Elephas maximus indicus: one gene and its partners. The protein of the gene in region 2 interacts with the protein of the main gene of each other region in a biochemical or structural test. Links are inferred from orthologs where the notes say so. Each region holds a gene or a part of one and is shown on either strand. Other genes may lie near its edges.

Region 1 (7,005 bases), on a different chromosome or scaffold from region 2:
CAATCCCACTCCTAGAGAAATAAGAGCCTTTACATGAACAGATATACACACACCCATGTTTACTGCAGCACTGTTTACAAAAGCAAAAAAATGGAAGCAACCAAGGTGCCCATCAACGGATGAATGGATAAATTACGGTATATTCACACAATGGAATTCTGCGCATCAATAAAGAACAGTGAGGAATCTGTGAAACATTTCATAACATGGAGGAACCTGGAAGGCATTATGCTGAGTCAAATTAGTCAGTTGCAAAAGGACAAATATTGTATAAGACCATTATTATAAGAACTTGAGAAACAGTTTAAACTGAGAAGAAAACATTCTTTTGTGGTTAAGAGAGGAGGGAGGGAGGGAGGGTGGGACAGGGGTATTCACTAATTAGATGGTAGATAAGAACTACTTTAGGTGAAGGGAAAGACAGCACACAATACAGGGGAGGGCAGCACAACTGGACTAAACCAAAAGCAAAGAAGTTTCCTGAATAAACTGAATGCTTCGAAGGCCAGTGTAGCAGGGGCAGGGGTCTGGGGACCATGATTTCAGGGGACATCTAAGTCAATTGGCACAATAAAATCTATTAAGGAAACATTCTGCGTCCCCCTTTGAAGAGTGGCATCTGGAGTCTTAAACGCTAGCAAGCAGCCATCTAAGATGCATCAATTGGTCTCAACCCACCTGGATCAAAGAAGAATGAAGAACACTAAGGACACAAGGTAATTATGAGCCTAAGAAACAGAAAGGGCCCCATGAACCAGAGACTACATCAGCCTGAGACCAGAAGAACTAGATGGTGTCCAGCTACAACTGATGACTGCCCTGACAGGGAACACAACAGAGAACCCCTGAGGCAGCAGGAGAGCAGTGGGATGCAGTCCCCAAATTCTCATAAGACCAGACTTAATGGTCTGACTGAGACTGGAAGGACCCCGGTGGTCATGGCCCCCAGACCTTCTGCTGGCCCAGGACAGGAACCATTCCTGAAGCCAACTCTTCAGACATGGATTGGACTGGACAACGGGTTGGAGAGGGATGCTGGTGAGGAGTTAGCTTCTTGGATCAGGTGGACACTTGAGGCTATGTCCGCATCTCCTGCCTGGAGGGGAGATGAGAGGGTAGAGGGGGTTAGAAGATGGCGAAATGGACACGAAAAGAGAGAGTGCAGGGAGAGCGGGCTGTCTCATTAGGGGGAGAGTAATTGGGAGTATGTAGCAAGGTGTATATAAGTTTTTATGTGAGAGACCGATTTGATTTGAAAACTTTCACTTACTGAAAGCACAATAAAAATTGTAAAAAAAAAAAACACAAAAAAACAAAAAAACCCACTGAGGATTCCTGCTTGCTGTCCAAAGTCTGAGCCGATGTAGATCCTTGTGGTTGTTCGCGGCTGTCAAATTGGCTCTGATTTATGATGACCCCATGTGTGTCAGAGCTGAACTGCTGATATTTTGGAAATAGATTACTAGGCTTTTCTTTTTTGTCTTAGTCTGGAAGCTCCACTGAAACCTGTGCACCATGGGTGACCCTGCTGGTATCTGAAATACCAGTGCCATAGCGTCCAGCATCATGGCAACATGCAAGCCATCACAGTATGACCAACTGACAGACGGGTGGTGGGTAGATCCGTAGCAGTGCTTTCTTCCCAGTTATGCTGCCAGGTGGTCTGCGATGCAGCCAGACCCCTTCCCCTCAGTCTTCCCACCACACCAGTGGTGCTTTAAATCAGAGGCTGGTTGAAGGAAGTCTGTGCTGACGATCCTGAGTGAATGCTCGCCTCTTGCGAGGGGCTGAGGGCTACCTGATGTAGACAGCAGAGGCACTGCCAAACTTTCCAGTAACACTGCTACTGCCCGCACCAGTGTCTGCAACTTCTTAATTTTTTTTATTGTGGTAAACATACATATATATGTTTTTCCAATTCAACAATTTTTACATGTAAAATTCAGTGACACTGATTGCGTTCATCATGTCTTGCCACTACTGATAGCTGCCAATCTCACCTTCCGTGAAGGAGACCTGGTGCAGGATGCCCAGGCAGTGTACCCCATGTGCAGCACCACCCATCTGTCAGTGCGGGCTTGCATGTTGCTATGATGCTGAACAGGTTTCAGTGGAGCTTCCAGACCACGATGGACTAGGAAGAAAGGACTGGCCATGTACTTCTGAGAATCAGCCAGTGAAAACCCTATGGATCACAGCAGTCGGTGGGGATGGAGCCGGACTGGGCAGCATTCTTCTCGGTCGAGATTGCCATGGGTTGGGGGTGACTCCAAGGCAGCTAACAAGAAGACCAAGGATTGTGAAGGTCTGGGTGAGTGAATGGTAATTTACTCTGAGGTCTGTGCACTTTTTCAAGGATGACATCCCCTAACACTCCCCCAAGAAGACCAAGGATTGTGAAGGTCTGGGTGAGCGAATGGTAATTTACTCTGAGGTCTGTGCCCTTTTTCAAGGATGACATCCCCTAACACTCCCCCAAGAAGACCAAGGATTGTGAAGGTCTGGGTGAGCGAATGGTAATTTACTCTGAGGTCTGTGCCCTTTTTCAAGGATGACATCCCCTAACACTTCCCCAAGAAGACCAAGGATTGTGAAGGTCTGGGTGAGGGAATGGTAATTTACTCTGAGGTCTGTGCCCTTTTTCAAGGATGACATCCTCTAACACTCCCCCAAGAAGACCAAGGATTGTGAAGGTCTGGGTGAGCGAATGGTAATTTACTCTGAGGTCTGTGCCCTTTTTCAAGGATGACATCCCCTAACACTCCCCCAAGAAGACCAAGGATTGTGAAGGTCTGGGTGAGCGAATGGTAATTTACTCTGAGGTCTGTGCCCTTTTTCAAGGATGACATCCCCTAACACTCCCCCAAGAAGACCAAGGATTGTGAAGGTCTGGGTGAGCGAATGGTAATTTACTCTGAGGTCTGTGCCCTTTTTCAAGGATGACATCCCCTAACACTTCCCCAAGAAGACCAAGGATTGTGAAGGTCTGGGTGAGGGAATGGTAATTTACTCTGAGGTCTGTGCCCTTTTTCAAGGATGACATCCCCTAACACTCCCCCAAGAAGACCAAGGATTGTGAAGGTCTGGGTGAGCGAATGGTAATTTACTCTGAGGTCTGTGCCCCTTTTCAAGGATGACATCCCCTAACACTCCCCCAAGAAGCTGAACACCCTTCTCAGTGCACACCAGCATTCCAGCAACTCTCCTCCTTTTTTTTTTTTAATTGTGCTTAAGGTCAAATTTACAAAGCAAATTAGTTCCCCCGTTCACTAGTTTGTACATAAAGTGTTACATGACTTTGGTGGTATTCCCCACAGTGAGTCAGCACTACCCCCGTTTCCATTCCGAGTTCCCCCTTTCCTTTCGTCCTGATTTATCTCGTGTAAAAAAAAAAAAAAAATTTTTTTTTTTAATTGTTCTAAGGACCACCTTCTCTCGGGAGTTACTGTTTATTTCACGGCCCTGTCTATGGTTTGGCTGAAAGGTGGCCTCTGGAAATGTGGCTGCAGTTCCACTTCAGAAGGGTGTCTTAGGGCCACAGTCTCGGGGGTTTCTCCAGGCTCTGTCAGACCCCGTAATTTGTTTTTTAACCCAAACCAAGCCTAACCCACTGCCAAGTGGATTCCAACCCATAGAGAACAAAACTTCCTCATAAGGTCTCCGAGGCTGTAATCTTCAGGAAGCAGACTGCCGCATCTCTCCGCCCCTGTAGCAACTGGTGTGTTCCACCACCAAACTTCCGGTTCGCTGCCGAGCGCTTCACCTACTGCACCACCAGGGCTCCTGACTTCTTAAAAGGGGTGGAAAACCTGACGCAGGCGCAGTGATCGACAGCCGCGTCAAGCCGACAGTGAGCACGCGCACGAGCCCATTGCCCGCTGTCCCTCCTCCCTCAGACCCCGCCCCTCAAGGCTCGACCTGGGCCGCTGCGCCCCGCCCCGCGCATGCGCAGGGCCGTTTTTTCCCGTGGTGCTCTAGGGCGCGGGTAATTTGTAGTTATGGCGGGCGCTCCGTCGCTGCGTTCTTGCAAAAGATGCTCCTCTGTTAGCTGTGCGTGTGACCAGGGCAAGTGGAGCGACTCCTCTCTGCTGGGCAGGAGGCTCTCCGAAGACTCGAGCCGCCAACAGCTGCTGCAGCAGTGGGCGAGCATGTGCAGCTCCGGGAGCTGGAGCGCGCCGGCGGCCGGCGCCGAGGAGACGTGGCGTGGGGAGGCCGCGGAGGAGGAGCGGCCGCTGGTGTTCCTGTGCTCGGGCTGCCGCCGGCCGCTGGGCGACTCGCTGAGCTGGGTGACGAGCCAGGAGGACCCCGACTGCATCCTGCTCCGCTGTCAGTCCGGGCGGGCGGGGGGCTTGGGGCCGCCGACTTCCCAGGTGTGCAGTATCTGGGCGGCTCGGAGGGAGGGGGTTGCCTTGGGACCCACTGCCGTCAGTCCATTCCGACTCATAGCGACCCTATAGACAGAATAGAGCTGTCTTATGGGGTTTCCAAGGAGCGGCTGGTGGATTCGAAGTGCAGACCTTTTGGTTAGAAGCCGAGCTCTTAACCACTCCACCACCAGGGTTCCACTGCACCACCAGGGACTTAAAATGCAGAGAAAGTTGAGAGGGGGAGCTGTGCTACGAAAAGGGGAGGAAGAAGGTCACCTGCACCTTTGGCTCAAGAGTGAGGGGCGGGTCCTTTATCTTGAAGCCACCGCCCCGCCCCCCATTCGAGAAGAGCAGTGGTTGAATCAGCAGCATTGTGAGCATTACTCAAAACATTACAACTCGATTGTAAGCCAGGACGTGTTTGTTGTTGTTAGGTGTTGTGGAGTCAAGTTGTTTTTAACTTTTCTAGAACTGTATATAAATATCTTGATTTATCCGCTTTAGACAATTTGATTAAAACTTTCTCCTCCACTTGGACTTCAATTATTCTCACTTTGTCATTGTTCTAGTATTTACGTTCTGCTCTGTAGCCATAATTCCCATGGTCATTTAGCCTTAAGGTAACATTTAAGTGGATTTATTTCTCAACTCTAGTACTCTTATCAGGAGTCCTGGTGGCACAACGGTTAAGCACTCAGCTGCTCATTGAAAGGTTGGTGATTTGAGCCTGCCCAGTGACTCCGAGTGAGAAAGATCTGGCAATCTGCTCCTGAAAAGATTAAAAAAAAAAAACAAACAACCAAACCCATTACTGTGAAGTCGATTCTGATTCATAGTGACCCTATAGGACAGAATAGAACTGCCCCATAGGGTTTCTAAGGCTGTAATCTTTATGGAAGCAGACTGCCGCATCTTTCTCCCACCTGGCTGATGGGTTCAGACTGCCAACCTTTTGGTTAGTAGCTGAGCACTTAACCACTGTGCCACCTGGGCTCCTTTCAGAATTGACTCAATGGCACATAACAACAGTACCCTTAGAGCTTTCCCTTCCTGACTGGTTTATTTTGATTGTTCTTGTTAGCTGCTGTGGAGTTGACCCCGACTCATGGCAACCCACACACAAAGGGATCGGACTGTTGCGATCCGTGGGGTTTACACTGGCTGATTTTGGAAGTAGATTGCCAAGACTTTCTTCCTAGTCAGAGTCTGGAAGCTTTGCTGAAGTCTGTTTAGTAGCATAGCAACATACAAGCCTCTACTCATATAGGTGGTGGCTGTGCTTGAGGAGTACTGGTCGGGAATGGAACCTGGGTCTCCCTCACGGAAGGCGAGAATTCTATCCACTGAACCACCGTGTCCCTCTTTATTTTGATTAATCGTCCTCAGTAGTTCCCATCCCCAAGAAAACTCCAGGTTTGAGTGCTTGAAAATGTCTGTTGTCTTTATACATGAATGTCTCTTTGGCCACACGTACACTTCTTCGGTCATGCTTTGTGCTTCCTCCAGGCATGAGGGGAGCAGGTGGTGCAAAGGCCCTGGGGCTTGTGAGTAGAATACAGATAAGATTCAGGGAAGAAGGAAGGGGCCAGAAAATGGAGAGCCTCGTATGCTATCTGAGGAGACAAAATCTATTCCAGTGGTTGAGGAGATGGGAGTGATATGACCCACTCGTGGAAGTAGGGAGACAAGTCAGGAGCTGTTGTGGAAGTCCACGCAAGGGGTGGTGGCAGCTGTGTTGGGGATGGAGAAGAGCAGATACTTTGGAAAGGCGTTTGTGAGGTAGAATTCACAGCACTTGTCAGTGGAGTGGGTGTGGGGAGCAGGATGAGACAGAAGAATCAAGGATGGCATTAGGGTGTCTGGTGGTGGCATTCACCAGGCTAAAGTGGACTGTAGGAGGAGGTGAAATCAAGGGGCTGTTTTGTTAGGTCCGATATGACATGGTCTTTTCTTCATTTCCCTCCACCTGGACCCTCTGTTAGTGCATCCTGAAACTGAATCCTCCGGTAACGTTTCCTGCTCGGGTTCTGCTGCGGCCCTTGCCCAAGTCATGGTCCAAGTAAAAGATTTTTGGCTGGGTTGCTGGGGACCATCTAAATTACTGTTGGAGAAATGAGCTTTCTTTTGGAGATCTAGATATGTACGCGTTGGATTTTAGCATCTTCCTTGGTTTTAATCCCAATTTCACCAAACCTGGCAGTTATTCTTTGTAATTTATGATTGGAGGTTCTCATTTTTCCAGGTTTTACTATTTCCTGAATTTTTCTTCTTAAGCTTATTCATTTTGTTCATATCACTGGTTTTCAGGGAAGGAAGTAACTCTTATTCTGCTGTCTTTTTCCAGAAGACTCCTGTACATTTAGTTTTAAACCCATGTGTTTTGTGTGTGTGAGTGTGAGAGAGAGAGACAGAAAGGGTGAGAGGGAGATACTTTGGCCTCTTATTTTTTCTGGCCCTCTGAGTTTTCATATAAAACTCAGATTAGAGGTTCTCTAAATATCTGCATGTGTATTATAACAAACCCCATTAACAAATTATAGTTACTTTTCTTCTTTCCAGGTGTCTCCTGTAATGTTTCTGTGGACAAGGAACAGAAGCTATCCAAACGTAAAAATGAAAATGGCTGGTGAGTAAAGCT
Region 2 (7,811 bases):
ACTAAGGAATTAAGGCTTTGCTCATGAATATGGGGCAGGGGTGAAGCATTAAATATTATAGCTCAGAAGTATTCCCAGGGACACTACTTTGTCACCCAACCCCAACAGGTACCAAACCTGGGCACTGATTATGTTGTTTAAACCATTTGAAAACACTTGTGATGGCTGATTTAGGCATTCATTCAGTGTAAATACCACAGCACGTAGTACAAATCTTGAGTATACCTTAGTATTTTGTGTGAAAACAGTTAGTATATATAAAACATGGATCCTCATATATTGAATCCCTATATTTTCCTCCAACATTTTGCCACCTCAAAATCGAAGGTATTACTGGTATTGAAACACCACCACCACAATAACCCATTGCAACTGAGTCGATTCCAACTCATAGCGACCCTACAGGACACAGCAGAGCTGCCCTATGGGGTTTCCAAGGAATGGCTGGTGGCTTCAAACTGCTGACCTTTGGTTAGCAGCTGAGCTCTTAACCACTGTGCCACAAGGGCTCCACCACCATAACAGTAATCAATAAAGGAACGATCACACTAGATCAGGGCTCAATTATAAAAATGTATCCATGGTGGGTACTTCCAAACAAGCCATTCTTTCTGCCAGGTCCCCAAACAAAGTATCAGACCTTAGAGGCACCTACTATACAGCCACAGTAGTCAAGACAGCCTTCTACTGGTATAACAGCAGACACATATGAAGCAGGCAGAGGGTTATTGACCATCCCATAATAGTTGTTTTTCAAAAAGTCTACTCTTGTTACATTTTTGTTGCAACTTTTACAATACCTCACCATGATTGGTTGATTCACCAGGTTTCCTCTCTTCTCCTGGCAGGAGGCTGAGGCAGAGAAGCACCAACTCCAAATTTATGGGCTATACAACCTTCCTGGGTGGCAGTAGCAAGCGGTCACCATTTTTTAGGGCTGTGCGCAAAAACTCATTTACAAAAATTATGCGGACTGTGTGTGCATTGCAGGACTGAAGATCCTCCCCTCACTGTCATGAATATGTATGTCACTCACTATATAAGAGCAAATCTGGCTTAGTTCAGGGAGCTGGCAGGCTTAGGTTGTGAGACCCTGCCTGCCTCTCAGTTTGCAAACTGTGAATAAACCTTTCTGTTCTTCCAACCCCAAGTCTGGCTGACTTCAATCTTCTAGTCTGCTGGCGAAGAACCAGCAAGTCGTCAGCTTCACATAGAGCAATGAACAGAATTGAGAACCCAGATGTAAATCCATCCACCTATAGACAGCTGATCTTTGACAAAGGACCGAAGGTTATTGAATGCGGAAGAGATAGTCCCTTCAACAAATGGTGCTGGCAAAATTGGATATCTATCTGTAGAAAAATGAAAAAGGATCCTTACCTCACAGCATACACAAAAACTAACTCAAAATGGATCAAAGATCTAAATATAAAACTATAAAGATCATGGAAGAAAAATACATGGCACAAACAGATTACCAAACATTATTAAAAGTACACACACAGAAGAAAATGAACTAGATAAATGGTACCACCTAGAAATTAAACATTTATATCATCAAAAGACTTCTCCAAAAGAGTAAAAAGACAACCTACAGATTGGAAAAAAACCTTTGGCTACGACAAATCCAACAAGGGTCTAATCTCTAAAATTTAGAGAAATCTTCAACACCTCAGCAAAAAAAGACAAATAATCCAGTTAAAAAATGGGCAAAGGATATGAATAGACACTTCACCAAAGAAGACATTTAGGTTGCTAACAAACATATGAAGAAATGCTCTTGATAATTAGCAATTAGAGAGATGCAAATCATAACTACAATGTGATACCATCTCACCCCAACATTACTGGCACTAATCAAATAATAAATATTGGCAAGGATGTGGAAAGACTGGAACACTTATATACTGCTGGTGGGACTATAAAATGGTACAACCGCTATGGAAAACGGTATGGAGCTTCCTCAAAAAGCTAGAAATAGAGACACTATATGATCCAGCAATCCCACTCCTAGGTATCTACCCTAGAGAAATAAGTGCCATGACATGAATAGACACACCCATGTTCATGTTCACTGCAGCATTATTCCCAATAGCAAAAGGTGGAAACAATCTTAAATGCCATAACGGATGAATGGATTAACAAACTGTGGTACATACACAATGCAATACTACGCAACCATAAAGAATAACGATAAATCCACAAAACATCTCACAACATGGATGAATCTGGAGGTCGTTAGGCTGAGCAAAATTAAAAAAAAAGGAAAAATAACCTGTTGTCATCGAGCGGATTTCAACTCATAGCAACCCTATAGGACAGAGCAGAACGGCTCCATAGGGTTTCCAAGAAGCAGCTGGTGGATTGAAATGCCGACCGTTTGGTCAGCAGCCAAGCTCTTAACCACTGCGTCACCAGAGTTCCTAAGTGAAATAAGTCAATCGCAAAAAGAAAAATATTGTGTGAGACTGCTTTTATAAAGTAACAAAAGCTTTACACACAGGAAGAAAAAAAAAACTCTTTGATGGTTAACAGGGATGGGAGGAAGAGGGAGGGAACATTCCCAAAGAGATAGTACCAAAAAAAAAAAACAAACCCATTGCCTTCAAGTCGATTCTGACTCATAGTGACCCTACAGGACAGAGGAGAGCTGCCCCATAGAGTTTCCAAGGAGCGCCTGGTGGATTCGAACTCCTGACCTTTTGGTCAGCAGGCACAACTCTTAACCACTACGCCACCAGTTAATAGGGGGGAAGGGAAAGGCAATACACAATATGGGAGAAGTCAGCACAACGTGACCAAGGCAAGAGAGGACACTGAGAGGAACACAGGAGTAACGAACAACTATGGTAACTACTACAGCATAAATAATCCTGTAACAATAGAATCAGCAAACAATAATCTATGGATGGATACACAAATAAGCCAAGAGGTGACAGATGGGCTAAGGGAGCACACCCACCCGCAGTGATAGGTTCGGTGGCAGAAATTTCAAATACCTGACTGGAAGTGCTCCTCATACGTTAATATAGACAATAGAGCACACAAGTGGCAGCGTCTGGGAAACATTTTAGGCATCACTAGACACCTCAATGGATGAAGTTCCCAGGCTCGAAGGCAAAGGACCATAGACTTGGAGTACATCTACATCAACTGACACAACGTAGTTCTTAAAGACAATGTTCTACATGCTATTTTGGTGAGTAGTGTCTGGGGTCTTAAAAGCTTGCGAGCAGCCATCTAAGATCCAACTACCAGTCTCTTCTGGTCTGGAACAAAGGAGAGTGGGAAAAAAGAAAAAAAAAAAAAAAAAAAACACTACAGTTTCAAGGGAGCAATTAGTCCAGAAGACTAATGATGCACGTGAACCACAGCTTACAAGGAACCCAAGACCAGAAGAACTAAATGGCGCTGGGCTACCACTACTGACTGCTCTGACTGGTATTACAACAGAGGGCCCTGGGCAGAGCTGGAGAAAAATGTAGAATGATCAAATTCACAAACAAGACCAGACTCACTGGTCTGACAGAGACTGGAGGAACCTGTGAGACTATGCCCCTGGAAACCCTTCTAACTCAGAATTGAAACCACTCCCCAAAGTTCATCTTTCGGCCAAAGACTAGGCAGGCCTATAAAAACAATAACACTCGTGAGGAACGTGCTTCTTGGATCAATCAAGTATATAAGATCAAATGGCCAACACCTGCCCAAAAACAAAGACATGAAGGCGGGAAGGGGCGAGAAAAGTGGGTGAATGGATCTAGGGAACCTAGAGTGTAAAGGGATAGGGTGCGAGCGCTGACACAATGCAGGATTGCAAACAATGCTAAGAAACAATTTGTGTAGAAATCGTTGAACGAGAAACTAATTTGCTCCGTAAACTTTCCACTAAAGTACAAGTAAAAAAAAAAAGAGAGATTATTAAAAAAAAAAAAAAGTACAAGTTAAAAAAAGAGAGAGATTATAGGCCTTTATTAAAATCTAGACTTGTTACTGGAGTTTTCCAGAAGCCAGGGCAATTATTTCGGCAATTTCGTAACAACTAACGAGCATCCTTTGGGCTTTCTCAGCCTGCGTTTCCAACCGATCTCTTAGGAAGCATCGTGTCCAATAAAACCACCCCAAACGGGCTTGGAGCAAAGGCCTATGTGAGCTCCAGGAAAGTCAGCCTCAAAATACGGTGCAAATTACGGCCTCTCTTCCGTTTCTCAGAGTTAGAGGAACCCCGGTGAGTCAAGTAGCCTGCCTATCGTCCCGGGCTGGGACGGCTGCCTCACCTCGCGAGTCGCGCTCAGTCGCTTCCCCGCGTCGGCCCGGGTAACCCCTCATCCGACCCCGCCTGCACAGCGGCCTGCGCCGCCAACAGCGTACCTTCAGGTTGGCCCGGAGGCCCAGGGTCTTGGCCAACTTCTGCAGGTCACTGTACTTGAAGGAGTCTAGCTCCTCCAGCGAGGGTACGGTCATCGCGATCTGCAGTCCGGGCGACCGCGCAGAGCTCGGTCGGCCGCTCTCAAAACGCCGTTCAAAACTCTGGCGCCACTCTAGGCGTTGACTGCGCAAAACTTTATACAGTTTAAATTAAGAACGCTGCACTTCCATTGGTTAGAAATGTCTCGTAGGCGGAGTTTCCTGACGCTAACCAATAGAAAGGCTGATTTCCTCCCTCTGAGGCACGTTATCCCGTCCCGGCGCGGAAGGGCGTGTGAAGGCGTGTCCGCCCACGGTACACGGCGTCCAATGAAGACGCTGGAATCTCGCTTGGGGCGGGGCCTGGTGCGTTTTCGAAACGGAGGCGCCAGCTGAAGGAAAATGGCGGCTCGGCCCCGGCGGCATCGGTTGCTCTACGCGAAGTTGCCGCGTGGGGACTTTTGTGATGGTGGCGCTAAGAAGGCTACTGACGAACATTCTTTAACGTCTTCCATGGAGTGGGACACGCAAGTGGTGAAAGGGTCCTCGCTGCTCGGCCCCGCGGGGCTGGGAGCGGAGGAGCCGGTAGCTGGCCCACGGCTGCCGTCGTGGCTGCAGCCGGAGAGATGCGCCGTGTTCCAGTGTGCGCAGTGCCACGCCGTGCTCGCCGACTCGGTGCACCTCGCCTGGGACCTGTCGCGGTCCCTCGGCACCGTGGTCTTCTCCAGTGAGTGGGGGCGTAATCCGGGGCAGGCGGAGGTGGGGCGTTCACACGCTTTCCACTGAGTGGCCTGGAGCCGGTTTGGGAATACGGGATGTCGATTTGGACGGGTATCGACTGACCCCTTTGCCAGCGGGGGAGTCTTTTTTTTTTTTTTTTTTCCGATAATATGGCCACAGTGAGGTTACCTGTGGGGGGAGAGATTTTCCTCTTCGAGGCCGGCAGAGGTACCGATTCTGACCAATGCTTGTCTTCCCAGGAGCCACAAACAACGTCGATGTGGAGGCGCCCTTATTGGTTGGCATTGAAGGTTCACTCAAAGGCAGGTAAGGGTGGGAATTGCCCTTTGGTGTCTAGTCCCTGACTTAATGAGACTGAGGAGCCTGGAACTGACACAGCTTGTTCCTGACTTGCGCTAGAAGAAAAGATTGTTTCATCTGTTCAATAATACAGTATGTCTGAAGGATGCTTCTTTTACTTGTATGACTCTTGTACGAACTTGATGTATCAATGAAAGGAAAAGTTATGTTTGTATGTGGCTTTTAAGATCTTTGAGGGCCACATCTCCCTAGTAGTATGTGCAAGTGAAGCTAGGCTAAGAAAGATAAATATCCATTATAGTTTGCACTTAACATGAAATTTGTAATAAGCTATGCAGGACTCGGAGCCTGGTGGCACAGCGGTTAAGAGCTTGGCTGATAACCAGAAGGTCCACAGTTTGAATCCATCAGCCACTCCTTAGCAACTGTGTGTGGCAGTTCTACTCTGTCCTATAGGGTTGCTATGATTCAGAACCCACTAGAGGGCACATAACAACAACACGGAGGACTAATTCTGTCTTTAACTAGGAAACTGGGGAAAAACACAAGTTGAATAGCATGTACTTAAGTACAAAAAAAAAACCCCAAAACCAGTTGCTTGCTGTCCAGTCCATTTGGACTCAGGACAACCCCGTGTGTTTCAGAGTAGAACTAAGCTCCATAGGGTTTTCATTGGTGTAATCTTAGGGAAGTAAATTGTCAGGCCTTTCTTCTGTGGTGCCACTGGATGGATTTGAATTGCCAACCTTTCAGTTAGCAGTTGAGCACAGTTTGCACTACCCAGGGACCTGACGTACCTGAATACTGCTTGGTAAACTTAGCGTCTTGGTTGTACTATGATTTACAAGTGACAATATCAGTGAATTTGATATTACAAGGGTCTTCAATTTTGAGTGTTGGCTTTAACGGCAAGTCAATTCATTCTAACCACAGTTTGGTTCAGTTTTAGGGTTAAAGTGTAGTAATTCTTAGTTGTTTTTCTCAGTGACCAGGAAGAGTTCTGCAGCCTGAACAAGCTTAGCAAATTGAGTTAGACCCATTGCTCATTTTCTTTTTACCGACTGAAAGATACTCACTCCCTGCACTGGCTCCTTCCCACCTCCAAGGGGATGAGAGGAAAGGAGTAGTGGCCCGCCTGGAATTGGGAGATTTGGGGCCAGAGGTAGAAGCTCTCTGAATTTCCTGTTAGGGAGGAGTATAGTATACCTAGACCTGCGCTGTCCAGCACTATAACCACTAGCCTAGCCACATGTGGCTACTGAGAACTTGAAATGTGGCCACTCGGAACTGAGGTACAAAATACACATCAGATTTTGAAAGCTTTGGTTAATAAAAAAAGAAAGAATGGAAGAGATCTCATTAAGTTTTTTTTTTTTTTAATATTGATTACATGTTGAAATGGTATTTTTGATATGTTGGGTTAAATAAAATATATTAAAATTAATTTCGCCTGTTTCTCTTTACTTTTTTTTTTTAACACAGCTAATAGAACATTTAAAATTACATATGTGGCTCACATTATATTCCTATTGGATAGTGTTGGTCTACATGGTTTGTGAAACACAGGAGGAAAATGCCATGTATTTCTCTATTTGTGGAATAAGAAGGGCCATGGGGGTTGTGGAGAGGGTTATGAAATAGCACAGCTTATGACACCTTGTATTCCTTATTTTAAGAATGCACATTCATTAACTAGACAAGGGTCTGAGAATGGATTAAGAGGATAATTCCTGATACAGCTGAAGGAGCATAAATTTTGGAATGAGAAGAACTGGATTCTACTTCCAACTTCTTAATAAGACATTTGAAGGAAGTCAGTCCCTCTCAATCTACTATGTTGGATTAATTCTAAGCTGCAGTTTTTTTTTTTTTACATTTAAATGCCCTAAAGTTGGCATGAGCTGTACAATTGATGGCATCTTAGAATCAAAGTCATAAGGTAGATAGATCCCAGGTTCCTTCTTATACCAACATTCTGTTATTCTGTGTCTGGTGGAGGATTTATTGTAACTAATTTCAAAAAGTAATATTAGAGTGGGTTGACACTTTTAAATAGCTTTGTTACTCAGAGCCTTTGTTATGTGTAACACAGTATTTACTTGAATGGAATTTTATTATGTTGATTATAAGTAAAGTACATTCTTTTTTAATTGTTACGGAGAGTTTCAAACACGTAAGAGTACAATGGACCTCTATGCACCCATCACTCAATTAGGACAGTTATCAACTCCCAGCCAATCTTGTTTCATCTATAATCATATCCACTGCCCCTGTCTGTGATTTTGAAGCACATACCTGAAATCATATCATTCCATCCATAAATATTTTAGTGAGAATCTCTATAAGATAGGAACTATTTTTTT
Region 3 (6,859 bases), on a different chromosome or scaffold from region 2:
ACGCTGGGACCACCCAAAACCAACCAGAGACTGATGATGACATTTCCACACCTTTCCATCACAATATCATTTACATGTCAACTCTATGCAGAATAAATTCCCATCGAGGTCAACAATTTGGATTCCACCAGGCGCTCCGTGGAAACCCTGTGGGGCCGTTCTGCTCTGTCCCATAGGAACTCTATGAGTTGGAATCAACTCGACGGCAATGAATTTGTTTGTTTGTTTTGAGCAAAATTCAGGCACATTTTATGAGAGTAGCTATAAAAAAAATCCGATGAAAATTATTTCCTGTCTACATAATTGTGAACAGATCTTTGAGGGTGAAAGTTCCAACAAGGCCAGCAGAGGGTGCTGTGCAAGGGATCCTGCATCTCTACTGCCTAAGGAAGCCTGTGAGCCCCCCAGGGGCTGCACCCAGCCACTTCCCATGCCACTTGCCCTGCCAAGGAAGGAGCTGAGTTGTAATGCTTCCCTGTTTCATGGAGATGGGGAGTGGTGAGGAAGCAGTTTTGTAGCAGTTCTGGGTTCCTGAGGTCACATGCTTAGGCTGTTACCGGTGGATGGAGGTTGTAGGAAAATGACCTCAAATTAGGAGCGTGATGCAGGGTTCCTCCCTCCTCAGCTGGGCTGCCACTTTGGCCAGGGGCTGGCCAGACAGAGACAATGCATGCTAAGGCTGGCTCAAGGGGGGACTGGCAAAGCAGAATTTTGGGGGTCTTTTTTTTTCTCAGTTAAAGATTTCGAAGCTGTCAACTAACAGGTTTTTGTCAAGCAGACTAGCGAATTGAAGTCAGCCAGACGCAGGGTTGTAAGAACAGAAAGGTGCCGGGGGCCAGCCTCAGCAATGAACAGGGTTACCAGAGGAGGGGTAGAGTTCGGCGAAAAAAAGAATGAGAGGTAGTGTGTCTTATATTTTCATTTCTGCAGAAAAAGAAGCCCTTCTGCTCTTTATTTTTTACATGGTCTTTTATATCATAAGCTTACAAAAGCATAACATCGCATGATCAATAAAGGGGCAGTACAAGATATAATCATAAACATCATTTCCCAGAGACATAATTTTCCAAGTGACACATAGTACAGTTCCGCATACACACACAAGTACAATGAATTTTTGTTTAATTGAAGAGAATATTTTGTTGATATATTTTTACACAAAGTAACAATTGACTTCATACTGCTTTACACTTTATGCTTAATCTTGCAATTCCTTCCACAGTTTTTATAATAATTAATCTTTTTGCAAAAACCATTGCCACATAGGCTTTGTCCATTTTGTCCAGGGTGGCCAAATTTTTGAAGTCCAGCCACTTTGGGTTACGTCATATTGTCCACGATTATGCCAAGGACAATTAGCCCAATCTCTATACCCAAAGACCAGTCAAGAGCAGCAGTGAGCGGGGTAGACGAGAAGGTTGACCTGTAATTGGCTGAGAAATTGGCTGAGAGAACTCACTGCCTTTTGTTTTTCCACTTTTATGGGGTCATGTGTGGGTGGTGGTTTAATCACAAAAGGGCCTTGGTAAATACCAGGATTTCACCATCCTATTCTTATTTTCCATAGTCGAGCTATTTGTTTTTCCCCTAAGACAACTTCATGTTGATCCCCAAGTAACACACGGGCTGTCCCTACCCGAGATTTCACCAGGGGATTATGAGTAGGACGCCCCCCGTCCAAAGGTCCCTAAATCTATAATGGAATTTTATGCTTATACATTCTGCTATACACAGGCTGAAAATGAAATAGAAACATAACACAGATGACAGAGATATTCCTGACTTTTCAGGAATTCTTCGATGTTTATGCTAGGGGCAGTGGGTGCAGAGGGGCCGCCCTTGCAGCCTGGCTCTTCCTGACTTTTCAGGAATTCTTCAATGTTTATGCTGGGGGCAGTGGGTGCAGAGGGGCTGCCCTTGCAGCCTGGCTCCTCCTGACTTTTCAGGGATTCTTTGATGTTTATGCTGGGGGCAGTGGGTGCAGAGGGGCTGCCCTTGCAGCCTGGCTCCTCCTGACTTTTCAGGGATTCTTTGATGTTTATGCTGGGGGCAGTGGGTGCAGAGGGGCCGCCCTTGCAGCCTGGCTCCCAGCAGAAAGGTTTACCCAGTTTGCAAACTGGGAGGCACGCAGGGTCTCTGACCTAAGGCTGCCAGCTCCCTGAATCAGGGCAGATTTGCTCCTTTTATGCGGAGTGGCGTTCATATGCATGAACAGTGAAGGGAGGATCTTCAGTCTTGTGATGCACGCACAGTCCGCAAAATTTTAGTGAATGGGTTTTTGAACATGGCTCTAAAAATACTGCCCACAGCCCTGAAAAAATGACAACGGCTCGCTCTTGCCACCCCAGGAAGGTCAGAAAGCGGGTAGGTTCAGAGTCAGTGTGCCTGTGCTTTGGTCTCCTGCCAGGATAAACAAGAAAATTGTAACAAAAACGGAGCAAGAGTAGACTTTTTTGAAAAACAACTATTATGGGATGGTTAATAACCTTTTCATGACGGCCTGCTTCAATTTTACCTTGAGAACTCTCTCTACCGAAGCAGCCCATGAGCCCGTGGAACAGAGGCAGATTCCTGGGATAGTCAGTGAAGCCAGCCAGGAATGCCCTGGAGCAGAAACCCCAGCAGTGTCCCAGGACCGGGGACCAAGTCCTAGGAGAGGCAAGTTTTGAAATGGGGTGCTATTACGTGGGTAGAGGGTCACAGAAGAGAAGGCTGTCCAAGGCTTAGAGGAGAAGCAAAAGAAAACCTTGCAACATTTTGTTCTGTTATCATAGGGTCGCCAGAGCCAAATCTACAGCACGTAACCCTGGTGGCATAGTGATTAAGAGCTACAGCCACTAACCAAAAGGTCACCAGTTCGAATCCACCAGGTGCTTCTTGGAAACCCTACGGGGCAGCTCTTCTCTGCCCTACAGGGTCGCTGTGAGTCGGATATGCTTATATAAGCATAGAGAAAGGTTGAACCAATCTTAATGAAATTACTAGCTCAGGTGGGAAACTAGAGGGGGGCTGTAATTTTTACTTTCTCTGTGTTGTTTTGGAAACCCTGGTGGCATAGTGGTTAAGAGCTATGGCTGCTAACCAAAAGGTCGATAGCTCGAATCCCCCAGACACTCCTTGGAAACTGGTGCAGTTCCTCTCTGTCCTGCAGGGTCGCTGTGAGTTGGAATTGACTTGATGCCAACAGGTGTGTGGTGCTGTGTTGTTTTAAATAATCTATGCTGAAGATGCGTTATCAGAAAAGAACCACCAAGACATTCCCATCTAAAAGAGAAAGACTGAAAAAGACTGCTCTGGTAGCAGAGAAAGGCACCAGAACCTGGATGTCAGAGAGGAGGCAGAACAGATTTATCACCAGGCTAGTCGTTGACAGAGCGGATTCCATCTCATGGCGACCCCATGTGGTAGAGTATAACTGCTCCATAGGGGTTTCTTGGTTCGTGACCTTTCTTTCACTGAGCCACTGAGTCAGCTCGAACCTCCAAACTTCAGATTAGCAGCCAACTGCAACTGCAGGCACCACCCGGGCTCTATGGGTTAATAATACATAGCTCAAAGAGCTGCCGTTGAATTGTTAATTAATAGGCGCAGAACGGCAGGAAGAGCTCCCCCGCGGCACTCCCCCGCCCGCACCCACCTCCGTGCCTTTCCTATAATCCCGCGCCACCGGATGGGGCGGGGCCGGGGACTCAGGGGCGGATTGGCCGGCAGGAAGTCGCGTGTATACGTTTGAAAGGCCCAATCAGCGCCCGCCTCACAGCACCAGCCAATAGGAAGCCAGAGAATGGCAGGAGGGCGGGAGCAGCGTATTTGAACGGCGGCGGGAGCGGCTCTCCGGGCGGCCCGGACTCGCGGCGGCAGCCTGTGCGCCATGGCGGCCGAGGGCTGCGAGGAGGCCGAGCTGACGCGGAAGCTCCAGGACAGCCGCCATCGCTTCCAGAGGCGCATGCAGCAGCTGATAGAGAAGGTACGGCCCTCAGCTCCGGCTGGAAGGGGTGGCCAGGCGCAAGGCTAGCGGGACTAGGGTGGGGGAGTCGGGGGCTGGGGTGCAGGGACCTGGGTGCAGGGAGGGCGCGGGGAGACGGGACCCGGCTATGCGAAGGGGGAAGGCAGGTCCGGGACCGGGTGCAGGGAGGGTGCGGAGAGGGGGGAGCCGGGCCGGGAACCGGGTGCAGGGAGGGTGCGGAGAGGGGGGAGCCAGGCCGGGAACCGGGTGCAGGGAGGGTGCGGAGAGGGGGGAGCCGGGCCGGGAACGGGGTGCGGGGAGGGTGCGGAGAGGGGGGACCCGGGCCGGGAACCGGGTGCGGGGAGGGTGCGGAGAGGGGGGAGCCAGGCCGGGAACCGGGTGCAGGGAGGGTGCTGAGAGGGGGGAGCCGGGCCGGGAACGGGGTGCGGGGAGGGTGCAGGGAGGCAGGGATGTGGACTGAGGGGATGTAGAAAAACCGCCCAGCTATTCAGTAACTGTGAACTAACTGGGGGTGGGCGGAGAGGTTGCCTGGAGGTCTGACCTAGTGGGACGCCCCGTCCCCTGCAGTACAACCATCCCTTCGAGGACACGGTGCTGGTGGAGATGGCCACACTGACCTACCAGACGCCCCAAGGTAGGAGTTAACTCTCATTTCGGTTTAAAATGTGAATAGCGTCTTGTAGAGTTTTGAAATCCTGGCCGTGCTTTTATGAAAATAAACCTTGTTCATCTGACTAGAAATGAATTCCTGAAGACATAGATGGTTAAGAATGCACCTGCCTGGGTTGGCATCACAGCTCACACTTATGCTCCTGTCATCGTGGGAGAGTTGCTTAGCGTGGCTGAGGCTCAGTTTCCTCATCTGTAAAATAGGTATTGTAACAGTTAGGGTCCTGGTGAAGCCCTTAGGACAGTACCTGTGCCCTCCAGCACTTACGTTGACTGTCATTTGTCTTGTTTGACTTTGAATATTAACTGTTCTCCTTGAGGTTCTGATAACTTGAAACTTAATCCCAGTATGGGAAAGGAGCCATTCTGTTTAGCGATGGTGTTGCAAACTGATCTAAGTCAGTGCATTGCCCGCTGCCCGTTGATTCTCTGCTGTGAATGAGGTCAGTTCCTCTCTTCTCACTACTCCTTACTACTAACTCACCACCAAAGATGTTGTCGTTAGGTGCCGTTGAGTCACTTCCGACTCATAGCGACCCTATGTACAACAGAACAAAACACTGCCCAGTCCTGCACCATCCTCGCAATCGTTACTATGTTTGAGCCCATTGCTTCAGCCACTGTGTCAACCCTACTTGAGGTTCCTCTTCTCTTTTGCTGACCCTCTACTTTACCAAGCATGATGTGCTTCTCCACGGACTGATTTCTTCCTGAATCCAAGCAAGCGAGACAAAGTCTCATCATCCTCACTTCCAAGGAGCTCTCTGGCTATACTTCTTCTGAGACAGACTTCTGGCGGTCCATGGTATATTCAGTATTCCTTGCCAACACCATAATTCAGAGGCGTCAATTCTTCTTCTGTTTTCCTTATTCATTGTCCAGCTTTCACATGCATATGAGGCGATTGAAAACACCATGGCTTGGGTCAGGTGCACCTTAGTCCTCAAGTGACATCGTTGCTTTTTAACACCTTAAAGAGGTCTTTTGCAGGAGATTTGCCCAATGCAAATCTTTCTTGACTGCTGCTTGCATGGGCATTGATAATAAAAGAAAGGTAATGATGATGAAAGCGGATCTCAGATCCTGCTGCACGTTAAACAAGCAGGCACAAAACGGTTCATAAGACCTGCTCCTTAAGCGAAGTCCTAACTCTGTGGCTTTTTAGCTGATCTGTCCACACCTCGCTTGCGTACGTACAGTGAACTCGGTGAGTGCTTGTCTCTGAAGATGTTAGGAGCGCCAAAGAGTGTGTGGAAGTGGGTTGCTGTGAACACTAAAAAAAGGAGTATACTTGGTGTGGGTCAAAGGACTAGAATTGGCCATTTGTCACTCGTTTCAGAAAACAGGGAGGCCCTGGTGACTCCCTGGTGGCACGCAGTGGTTAAGAGTGTGGCTGCTAACCAGAAGATCTAAGTTGAAATCCACCAGCTGTTCCTTGGAAACCCTATGAGGCAGTTCTGCTCTCTGGTGTAGCGTTGCTGTGAGTCGGAATCAACCGACAGCAGTGGGTTTTGGTTTTTCTGGTTTCAAAAAATAGCTGAAATTCTCAAGCAGTCAGGGCGCCCTTTTGTTTTCTAAAATAGACCAGCAACCCTGAAACATGTGCAACTGAGTAGGGACTACACATGCCACACGCCCCCACACTAAGCCACAGGAAGGAGGAGCATGGTACAGTCAGTCATGCATGATCATTGATTGGATTGAGGGTAACTATACACTAAGACACCTTCATGCGTATTCATTGAGGCCCCAATTACTAAGGGACCCTGAACATTGGAGATCCTCTCTGGGGGCATCCTGTAGTGGGGAGAACATCCACATTGGCATCTGAGTGTAGGGAGGGTGAGGGGAGGGGATGGCCCAATCAGCACCCCACCTCACAGCACCAGCCAGTAGAAAGCATGCTGTGCATGGCAAGGTTTGTGTGGCTCGTCCCAGACCTTGCCAGATGTATCTCTTACCAGGTGTCCTTTCTAATTATATGTGTAGGTAGAAGGAGCCCTGGTGGGACAGTGGTTAGGGCTTGGCTGCTAACCAAAAGAACCCACCAGCTACTCTACGGAAGAAAAATGTGGCAGTCTGCTTCCATAAAGATTTACAGCCTTGGAAACCCTGTGGGGCAGTTCTACTCTGTCCTGTAGGGTCACTGTGAGTTGGAAACAGCTCCACAGGTTTGGTTTTTCTCTTTAGTGTAGGTAGACTCCATGAGTTCTGTGAGTTATT
Region 4 (8,005 bases), about 43 Mb from region 2:
GCACAGGACCAGGCAGTGTTTTGTTCTGTTGTACACAGGGTGGCTATGAGTCAGAACCCACTCGACGGCAACTAACAATAGCAACAACAACAAACAAGCAAGAGCAAAAAGCAGAGATGGGGAAGGCACATGTTAATCACATGAAAATCGCCCAGAAGCAGAAGCCCAAAGAAACAAGGACCTCCCTCCATGTCTGACAGAGAAAGCCTTCCCCTAGATCTGGCACTCTGAATTCAGAATTTTGGCCTCCTAAACTGTGAGAAAATAAATTTGTTAAAACCACCTGCTTGTGGTCTGTCATTGCAGCACTACATAACTAAGACACTAGGTTTATAGCATCTCTTACTGCTGAATTTATAATTATTCCAATCAGTTTAGGACATCATATAAACATAAAAAGCCAATCACAGAAAATACTAATGCAATCAGACCAAAAGACATCCAATGTCTATATCTACAATAACTTCTGTGAAATACATATATGTGAGTTAAAAATTCACATACAAATTTATATTTTATTCAGTAATTTAGAATATACTAGGATCCCTGGTGGGACAGTGGCTAAGTAAGAAAAGTAAAGAAACAAAAAAAATTCCTCAATAATAAGAGCTGACAAAGTTTATCTTGGGAGTCTTGTCCTGAACACAAACACCAGTGTAGTTCTTTCACAGAACATAATTTGGTAAATATGTATTAACAGATATATTTATGTGTTAGGCAATATGCTAGGTGCTAGGAGTCCTGTGCTGGGAGCTATAATACTAACAGTTTAGTTTTAACTATATCCCCTAAAACTGTACTCTCACAAAAGAAAAAAAAATTAATAAGCTGGACAGTTACCAGGAAAAATTGCAAAATGTGTGCAGGTTTGTAGCTGCCAGCTGTTGTTGCGTTGCCCGACTCAGGGAGACCCCATGCACAATGGAACTAAAGGCTGCCAGGTCCTGTGCCATCCCAGTGATTGCAGATAGGACCATTTTGATTCAGAGGGTTTTCTCCACCTTATTTTTGGAAGTAGGTCACAGGCCTTTCTTCCTAGTCTTAGTCTGGAAGCTTTGAAGCCTTTTCAGCAACATAACATGCAAGCCTTCACTGACAGAGAGGTGGTGGCTACACATGAGGTGCATTGGCTGGGAACTGAACGTGGGTCTCTGCATGAAAGGTGAAAATTCTACCACTGAACCACTTATACAATCACAATTCCTTAGAGCCTAATGAAATGCTAAAAAAGCAAACGATAACTGCAAATACACTAGTAGCACTGAAAGCAGACCCAATCTGTACTAGACATCCCACAACCCGGTGCCGTCGTTACAGAACTGTTTTCATCTAAAGGCAGATAATTATGGTCACATTGAAAGGCTCCAAGACACAGCTCCTCCCTTTCATATTTCCCACCACCCCCACCCCCACCCCCACCCCCCCATTCAAGCAAGTAATAAGACGGAGAAGCCGAATAGTCAAGATTCTTAAAAACCCTCAGATTCTACTCCCCCTCCCAAAAAGACACAAAGTTTCTCTTGGAGTCCTTCTCTACCACTACGTGATAAACAGCAACTCAACAGAAGCCCAAAGATCTGCCAATATTTTTTAGTGGTTTCAGTGTGGTTGGTGGTAGACAGAGTGTTAAAACAATCACGTAGGATTTTTTTCTGACGATAGAAACTTTGCAGAATAATAAAAGAAAAACAAATAAACCATTGAGTATAGGCGACCCAAGAAAGACCTGAAGCCCTATTTCTTTCCTAGTTAACAGAAAAGCAGAACAAAAACAAACAAAAAAAAACCCCTAAATCAATAATGCTCAATCTCTGATGAAATATGCAGATAATTGGTGTCCCTCAAGTTGAGAAAGAACAGTGTTCCGAAGGCTGGACGATGAAAAAGGAAGAACGAAGAAAAATGAACGCATCCAAATTGTGGTGTCTGCAAAGAATACTGAATATACCAAGGACTGCCAAGAGAACAAATAAACCTATCTTGGAGAGTGTACAGCCAGAATGCTCCTTAGAAGCTAGTCTTGCTTACTTTGAACATGTCATCAGGAGGGACCAAGAGCTGGGGAAAGACATCATGTTTGGTAAAGCAGAGGGTCGGCAAAAAAGAGGGAGACCCTCAATGAGATGGATTGACACAGTGGCTGCAACCATGGGCTCTAACACAGCAACAATTGTGAAGATAGTGCAGGCCCAGGCAATATTTCTTTCTGTTATACATGAAGTCGCTATGAGTAGGAGCTGACTGGAAGGCTCTTAACGACAATCATTCTAACCTCATTTTCTTTTTCTTTTTTTTTTCCTGTGAGTGATTTTAGAACAAAGGTCTAGAGGGCTTAACATGGAAATGAATCTGAGCGGAAACGAATCTGACCGAGTGTTCTGACAACTGCGTAGACACGCAACAAATAAACACTGAATGAATGAGCAGCGCGAAAGCACTGCCAAAGCCAGAATCTACTAAGGCCCGCGTGGGCCTAGCCGCTGCACCTGCAACGCCGGCAAAAGGCTAGAGGCGCCGAAGAGGCCGTACCTTGGTGGAGGGCTTGGCAGGGCGGACGGTGGCAGTCCCAGCTCGGCACCGCGCGGAGGTGGTCAGGGCACCGCGCGGAGGTGGTCAGGCGCCCCAGGACTCGCGCCTCAGGCCCACGTCGGCCTCGGTCTGCCGCGGCCCTGGCCCAGGCGACGTTCACCTCCTCTTGAGGATCCCTGACATCTACAACAGTTTGGGAATTCAAATTCGAAGAGCCCGCCCTCCGGCCAGCCCCGGATTGGCGCACACAGGAACTACGTCACCGTGCGCCTCTCAGGGACGCGAGAAAACTAGGGGCGGCGGGAGCGGCGCGAGGGTAATGCTGTTTCCACAAAGAAGTAGGAGACCCCCAAGTTGCCGCAGGCCAGGGGCGCGCCCCTCTAGTCATCCGCAGGGTTCGTTTGGTCTCCAGAGGGCGCCACGCCGCGAGCCTGTCTGCGTTCCACCACTCCTCCCGTCGTGCCCTGCGGTAGGAGGGCGGTCGTCAGACGTCGCCTGCACGCTCTGGCACTAATGAAGTTTGGCCCCTCCCAGCTACTGTCTTCTTTAGCCTGTGGGAACCGGTTCTGCGGGAACTTGTCCGCCGGTCCTCCCATATTCCGTGTTCTCGTCAGTGCTGTTTAGCAGACGTTCCTTCCACCTTTGAGGAAACATCTTGTTAAACACATTTGAGGAAACGTTTGTTGTCTCAGTCCACGAATTATTTGAGGTCGAGAATGAGCGTTCTGTTCTTGAAGGGATAAGGGACTGAATGCAAAGTGACACTTCCAGTGGGATGTTTAGTTTTAGCTATTACCGCAGGCAGGGTGATGTTTTTTGAAGCTGATCATCTCGAATTCTAGAAACAATATCTCGACAGCTCTACACTGCGAAGCACTTTGCGACAGTGGCCCTCAGACTCCACCTTGCCTTAGGCCGCACCCAGTGATGCTCTGCTCCAACCACCACGGAGGACAGAGTGTGTCCTTCGCTGCAGCGCCCCGGGAAGACGCAGTCGCTGGCTGGAAGCGCTGTGTAGGGCGCCTTGCTTGAGTCTTGGGGGATGGAGAAGGGCGAGCCAGGGCAGTGGCAAATATTTTCAGCCGTAAACTCTACCCAGCTCCAGTCCCGCGTCTCCTCCCCACGAACTCCCCTCTCAAATCAGCATTTGGGACATAAATCCTTTTTATTGCAAAGAAAATTCCTCAGCTTTTTAGAGTCATATTGCATTTCCTCATTATGATTGTTATCGTACTGGACTCAAAAGTTTGTAATGGGTTAATTTTTTAAAGTGACATTTTGCACTTCTGAAGCCTGTATCTGCTACATTTTATGCATAGAATATTCAGAATCCAAAATGCAAATGTAAAGCGTGTAAATGAATGCAAGTGAGGAAAAGAAACCGTTTGGGAATTGGGGGAGTGAAGCAAATCTACATGGGTAAAGTGAAGTTTCTGCCTCTGCAGGATAACAGGAAAATGACTGGACAGGGATTTGCACCAAATTTCTAGGAAAGATAAGTCTTAAAAATATATGTTAAGTGGCAGGTATGAAATAAACTTTGTGGACTAGAGCGACCTTGAAGAGATATGTATTCGTCATATGCAATGGAGTTATGAAAGGTTTCTATGCTGATGATGGAGATAGCCATGGCTTACACATTCAGACAAAATAAAAATTCCTGAAATCTTAAGGGCAGACTCTCAGAATTACAGACTTCATATATTTTTTTTAACTAACCACTTCTGTGAAAAGTAACTAGTATATAGCATGTGAACAGCCACAGGGATTTACATAAGGAATTTCCAAGCAAAACTGGATGAAACAGTTTGTGAATAATGAAGAGTGATGGGAAGGCAAAGAAGCCAAGGTGCAAATATTCATCCGCCCTTTAGAAGGTCGACATGCTGCCTTGGGTGGGTACTTTTAAAAGTTTCTGTCTGGAGAGGAGAGCTTCTCCTACTCCACAGTCACTCACCTGAAATACTCTGCCCAGTCCTAGGGCTGTAACTCATGGGGACACATACAGATCCATTTAGGGTCCAGAGGACAGACATAGGAGATAGGGACTGGAAGTGTCACTCTGGGAAGAACTGCCAAAGCATCTAGAACTGCTTAGCCTGGAGGAATATTCCCAGGACCATGGTGAGTTCTAACAGTGCTACTACTTGCCTATATGGCATTTTTTTTTGTAAATTAGAAAAAGATGGCCTTCAAGGCCAATGATTCTCAACCAGGGGCAATTTTGGAAACATGTCTGGAAACATGATTGTCACAACTGCAGAGGTGCTACTGGCATGTAGTAGGTAGAAGCTGGGGATGCTACTAAACATCCCTCAATTCGCAAGACAGCCCCTCCACTATGAAGAATTATCTAGCCTAAAATATCAGTAGTGCCAAGATTGGGAAATCCTACTCTTGGCAGAGGTAGCCCTAAAACACGATTTCAATCCCCTCTCCTGCAGCTGAGTGCCCTTATGTATTGTATAACTGCATAACCACTACTGCCATGTCCAGGCCTAGAGGAGGATGAGGAGGGAGTCAACAGGGAGGTTATCTGGGCTTTGTGAGAGGGGGACTATTCAGAGATGGAGTCAACATGCAAAGACACAATCACATTGATTTGGCTTTTTTCTTGCTAACTGGTCTAGTTCTACAGTGAGTGACCCCACTGCTGTGTTTACAGTGGTATTTAAGGGCCAGCAGGGCAAATTGCCCACGTGTAATCTAGTATTTGGCCTGGCAGTACCTGGACCTCTTCAAGAATCAATTGTGGTGAAACCTGTAGTCCTACCTGGTGATACACAGCTCTGTTAGTGTCTTTGTTCTTGTTTCTCACTGTTTTGTGCCAATTAACGTAACTTCTGGGTCACCTTTCATACCTCATGGTTCATACTGAACTCACATCCGCCATCCCATAGCTCCTGATGTCCAGTTTAAATAGGCACCTGTATGACTCTGGAGTCCCTGCTCATCACACACCATCTTCCCAGCTCTTAGAGCATACTGGAGCTTAGATACTCTGTTGTAGACTTTTCCAAATGTCTGTTTTCATCCCTGTTCACTGGAGAAAGTCCCTTCCTTAGTAGCAAACAAAATCCACAACACCGTAAGTGGTGATTTTACAATGCTGAGTAGGTGCTGATTAGGACCCAGCGCTCCTGAAGGTAAGCTCTCTAGTGTGTCTTGTGGTTAAATGGGTGCCTGCACTGGGAACATTTTATTCTGGTTTTACCTGCTGCCTAGGAGCACTGGTGGTGCAGCGGTTAACATGTTCAACTGCTAACTGAAGGTTGGCAGTTTGAACCTACCAGCTGCTCCATGGGAGAAAGATGTTACAGTCTGCTTCCATAAAGATCCCAGCCTTGGAAACCCTATGGGGCAGTTCTACTTTGTCCTGTAGTGTTGTTATGAGTGGGAATCGACTCCATGACAATGGATTTGGTTTGGGTTTGGGTACCTACTGCCTGCTGCCATCTTAAGGTCAAAGTCAGTTTTGCTCTGCCTTTTTTCTCTGGATCTGGATCTGGAGTCCCTCACACCCCCACCCCCCCTCTCGTTGAAGAGAGAGGAAAACTCAGAGTTCAAAGTCCTCCACACTGACTGAGTTCAGCGAATTGACAGAAAGCTCTTCCCCTGTGCCTTGGGGCCAATTTCATGTGGACATCCCAGGGATACTTTAAACTCAACTTGTTCAGAATACAACTTTCCATCGTTCTGTCTTCCTCCGCCAATGAATTCCTACTCTCAAAACTCACTCCTCCTCCACACTCTTCATCTCAGTGAAAGGCTGTTCATCCAACTGCTAAATCAGAGGCCTGAGGGGCCATCCTCTTCCTTTCATTCCCCTACTGTGTTTCCCACGTCCAAATAACCACTAATTTCCTGTTTAGTCCCTCTATTGCTCTGCCGCTATCTGAATTATGGCCTTCAATTTCTCTTATTGGAACTATTGCAGTTGTTCGTCTCTCTCCTGTCTTTCATCTTTACTTCATCTCATTGTTTTCCTTCATACTGCCTCCAGTGTGATTAATTTGAAACTCAAAATCCTTCAGTGACTCTGTGGAGCCTACAAGGTAAAGTCCAAGCTCCTTGATTTGGCTCACAAGATATTCTGTGAATTGACATTTGTCTGCTTCTGGGCTTATCTCCCATCACTCCTCATCTCACACATAGCACCTAGTAACACTTAAGGTTACTGGAACACAATTAGCTGTTTCATACCTCTGGGCATTTGTTCATGCTATTCTCTTTTGTTTAGAAACAAACATCTGTAGGTCTTTTTCTTGGGCTTGTTCAGGTCCAAGAGAGGATGTATATCTGTCTGGGTCTGTAAGAAACAGATGGATCACTCAGTGGGTAATTGAAGAGAGTAACATAAGGGTTCCTTGAAGGGTGTTTAATGAAGGGACTGTTTACAAACAGGAGAGGTGAAATAACCAAGGACTAAAAACAGCTGGAAGTCCTTACCTCCTCTTGGCCTAAAGTGGCAGGGGAAAGGAACAGCATTCCTGGAACTTGCTAAAAAAAAAAAAAAATGGCAGGGAGCAGGGAAGAAGTAGAAGAAACAGCACAATGTTTCTCTTCTTCCACCCTCTGATATTCTGCTAGTGCCTCTAATTGGAAAAGGCTAAGATAGCTTTGGGTGATTACAGTCTGCAGATGTCCTCCTCCCAGGGCAAGGGAGAGAACTGGTAACAAATGTGAAGAGGCAAGCAGAGAACAATTAGCACAGGGTATATGTATCTTCTACAGCTCTGTTAGCTAAGCAGGGCAGGAGGGCTAGGGGTGTCACCTTTGGGTATGAAGACTTTTAATTAATTGCTTATTATCAGATGGCACCTCATCTCTCAGCTGTAAGAGGTGCCTCCAAGTCTTGGGCTGGGAAAAAAAGTCTGGGAAACTTATTTTTTTAATACAGCCTTTCAAGCCTTTCTCCTGTATTCAGCCCAACTCTACACTTTTGCCTTTAAATGGGCTCAGAACCCTTAATTCCTGAAACTTTCTGGGATTTGCAATGCCAATCAGCTTATTTCTCCTTGGCTTCCTTGCCCCTGCAGGCTTAGGCCTCTTATATCTCTAATCTATTAGTTCAGTTTTTACTCATCCATGTGTTTTTTGGCTTCCAGAATTCTGTTGGCACCTGTGATCAGCTATCATTTCCTGTTCTTTTTGTCTGTGTGGACCAAATGCCCCCTTTTAACTGTCATGTTAACGACAGTAAGGAGGAAAGGAGGGAGGATCAATAGGAATATTCAGGCCACCATGTATTAACTGGGAGCTTCTGATCCAGTGGATGTTAACTTTTTTCCATTTGATGAGTCTTTGGGTAATCTAATGAAAAGGAATCTCCTATCCTGAAAAAATGTATATAGAGATTCAAGCAAATTTTTATATATGATTTTGGGGTGACTTATGGCTTCTTGAAATCTTATGAACCCTTAAAGGATGAACCTTGGTTATGAAATAGTGTCTACAATGTATTTAGTATAGTCTG

Evidence for each region.
Region 1: the proteins of OIP5 (region 2) and MIS18A form a complex in vitro, tested with the Homo sapiens proteins (3 studies listed by BioGRID). The link is inferred for Elephas maximus indicus from reciprocal best matches to the Homo sapiens genes OIP5 and MIS18A.
Region 3: the proteins of OIP5 (region 2) and HJURP form a complex in vitro, tested with the Homo sapiens proteins (2 studies listed by BioGRID). The link is inferred for Elephas maximus indicus from reciprocal best matches to the Homo sapiens genes OIP5 and HJURP.
Region 4: the proteins of OIP5 (region 2) and MIS18BP1 form a complex in vitro, tested with the Homo sapiens proteins (2 studies listed by BioGRID). The link is inferred for Elephas maximus indicus from reciprocal best matches to the Homo sapiens genes OIP5 and MIS18BP1.

Annotation. Positions count from the first base shown.
Region 1 is NC_064836.1:29,347,947-29,354,951, forward strand, and holds the start of MIS18A (protein Mis18-alpha), read left to right. Parts: upstream 1-3,969; 5' UTR 3,970-3,998; coding exon 3,999-4,326; intron 4,327-6,926; coding exon 6,927-6,993; intron 6,994-7,005. UniProt on the Homo sapiens protein: Required for recruitment of CENPA to centromeres and normal chromosome segregation during mitosis.
Region 2 is NC_064828.1:14,707,756-14,715,566, forward strand, and holds the start of OIP5 (protein Mis18-beta), read left to right. Parts: upstream 1-4,804; 5' UTR 4,805-4,809; coding exon 4,810-5,134; intron 5,135-5,387; coding exon 5,388-5,454; intron 5,455-7,811. Other genes in the region: NUSAP1 (nucleolar and spindle-associated protein 1), read right to left, coding at 4,372-4,464. UniProt on the Homo sapiens protein: Required for recruitment of CENPA to centromeres and normal chromosome segregation during mitosis.
Region 3 is NC_064824.1:136,096,058-136,102,916, reverse strand, and holds the start of HJURP (Holliday junction recognition protein), read left to right. Parts: upstream 1-3,847; 5' UTR 3,848-3,871; coding exon 3,872-3,967; intron 3,968-4,534; coding exon 4,535-4,601; intron 4,602-6,859. UniProt on the Homo sapiens protein: Centromeric protein that plays a central role in the incorporation and maintenance of histone H3-like variant CENPA at centromeres.
Region 4 is NC_064828.1:57,674,449-57,682,453, forward strand, and holds the start of MIS18BP1 (mis18-binding protein 1), read right to left. Parts: upstream 3,007-8,005; 5' UTR 2,530-3,006; intron 1-2,529. UniProt on the Homo sapiens protein: Required for recruitment of CENPA to centromeres and normal chromosome segregation during mitosis.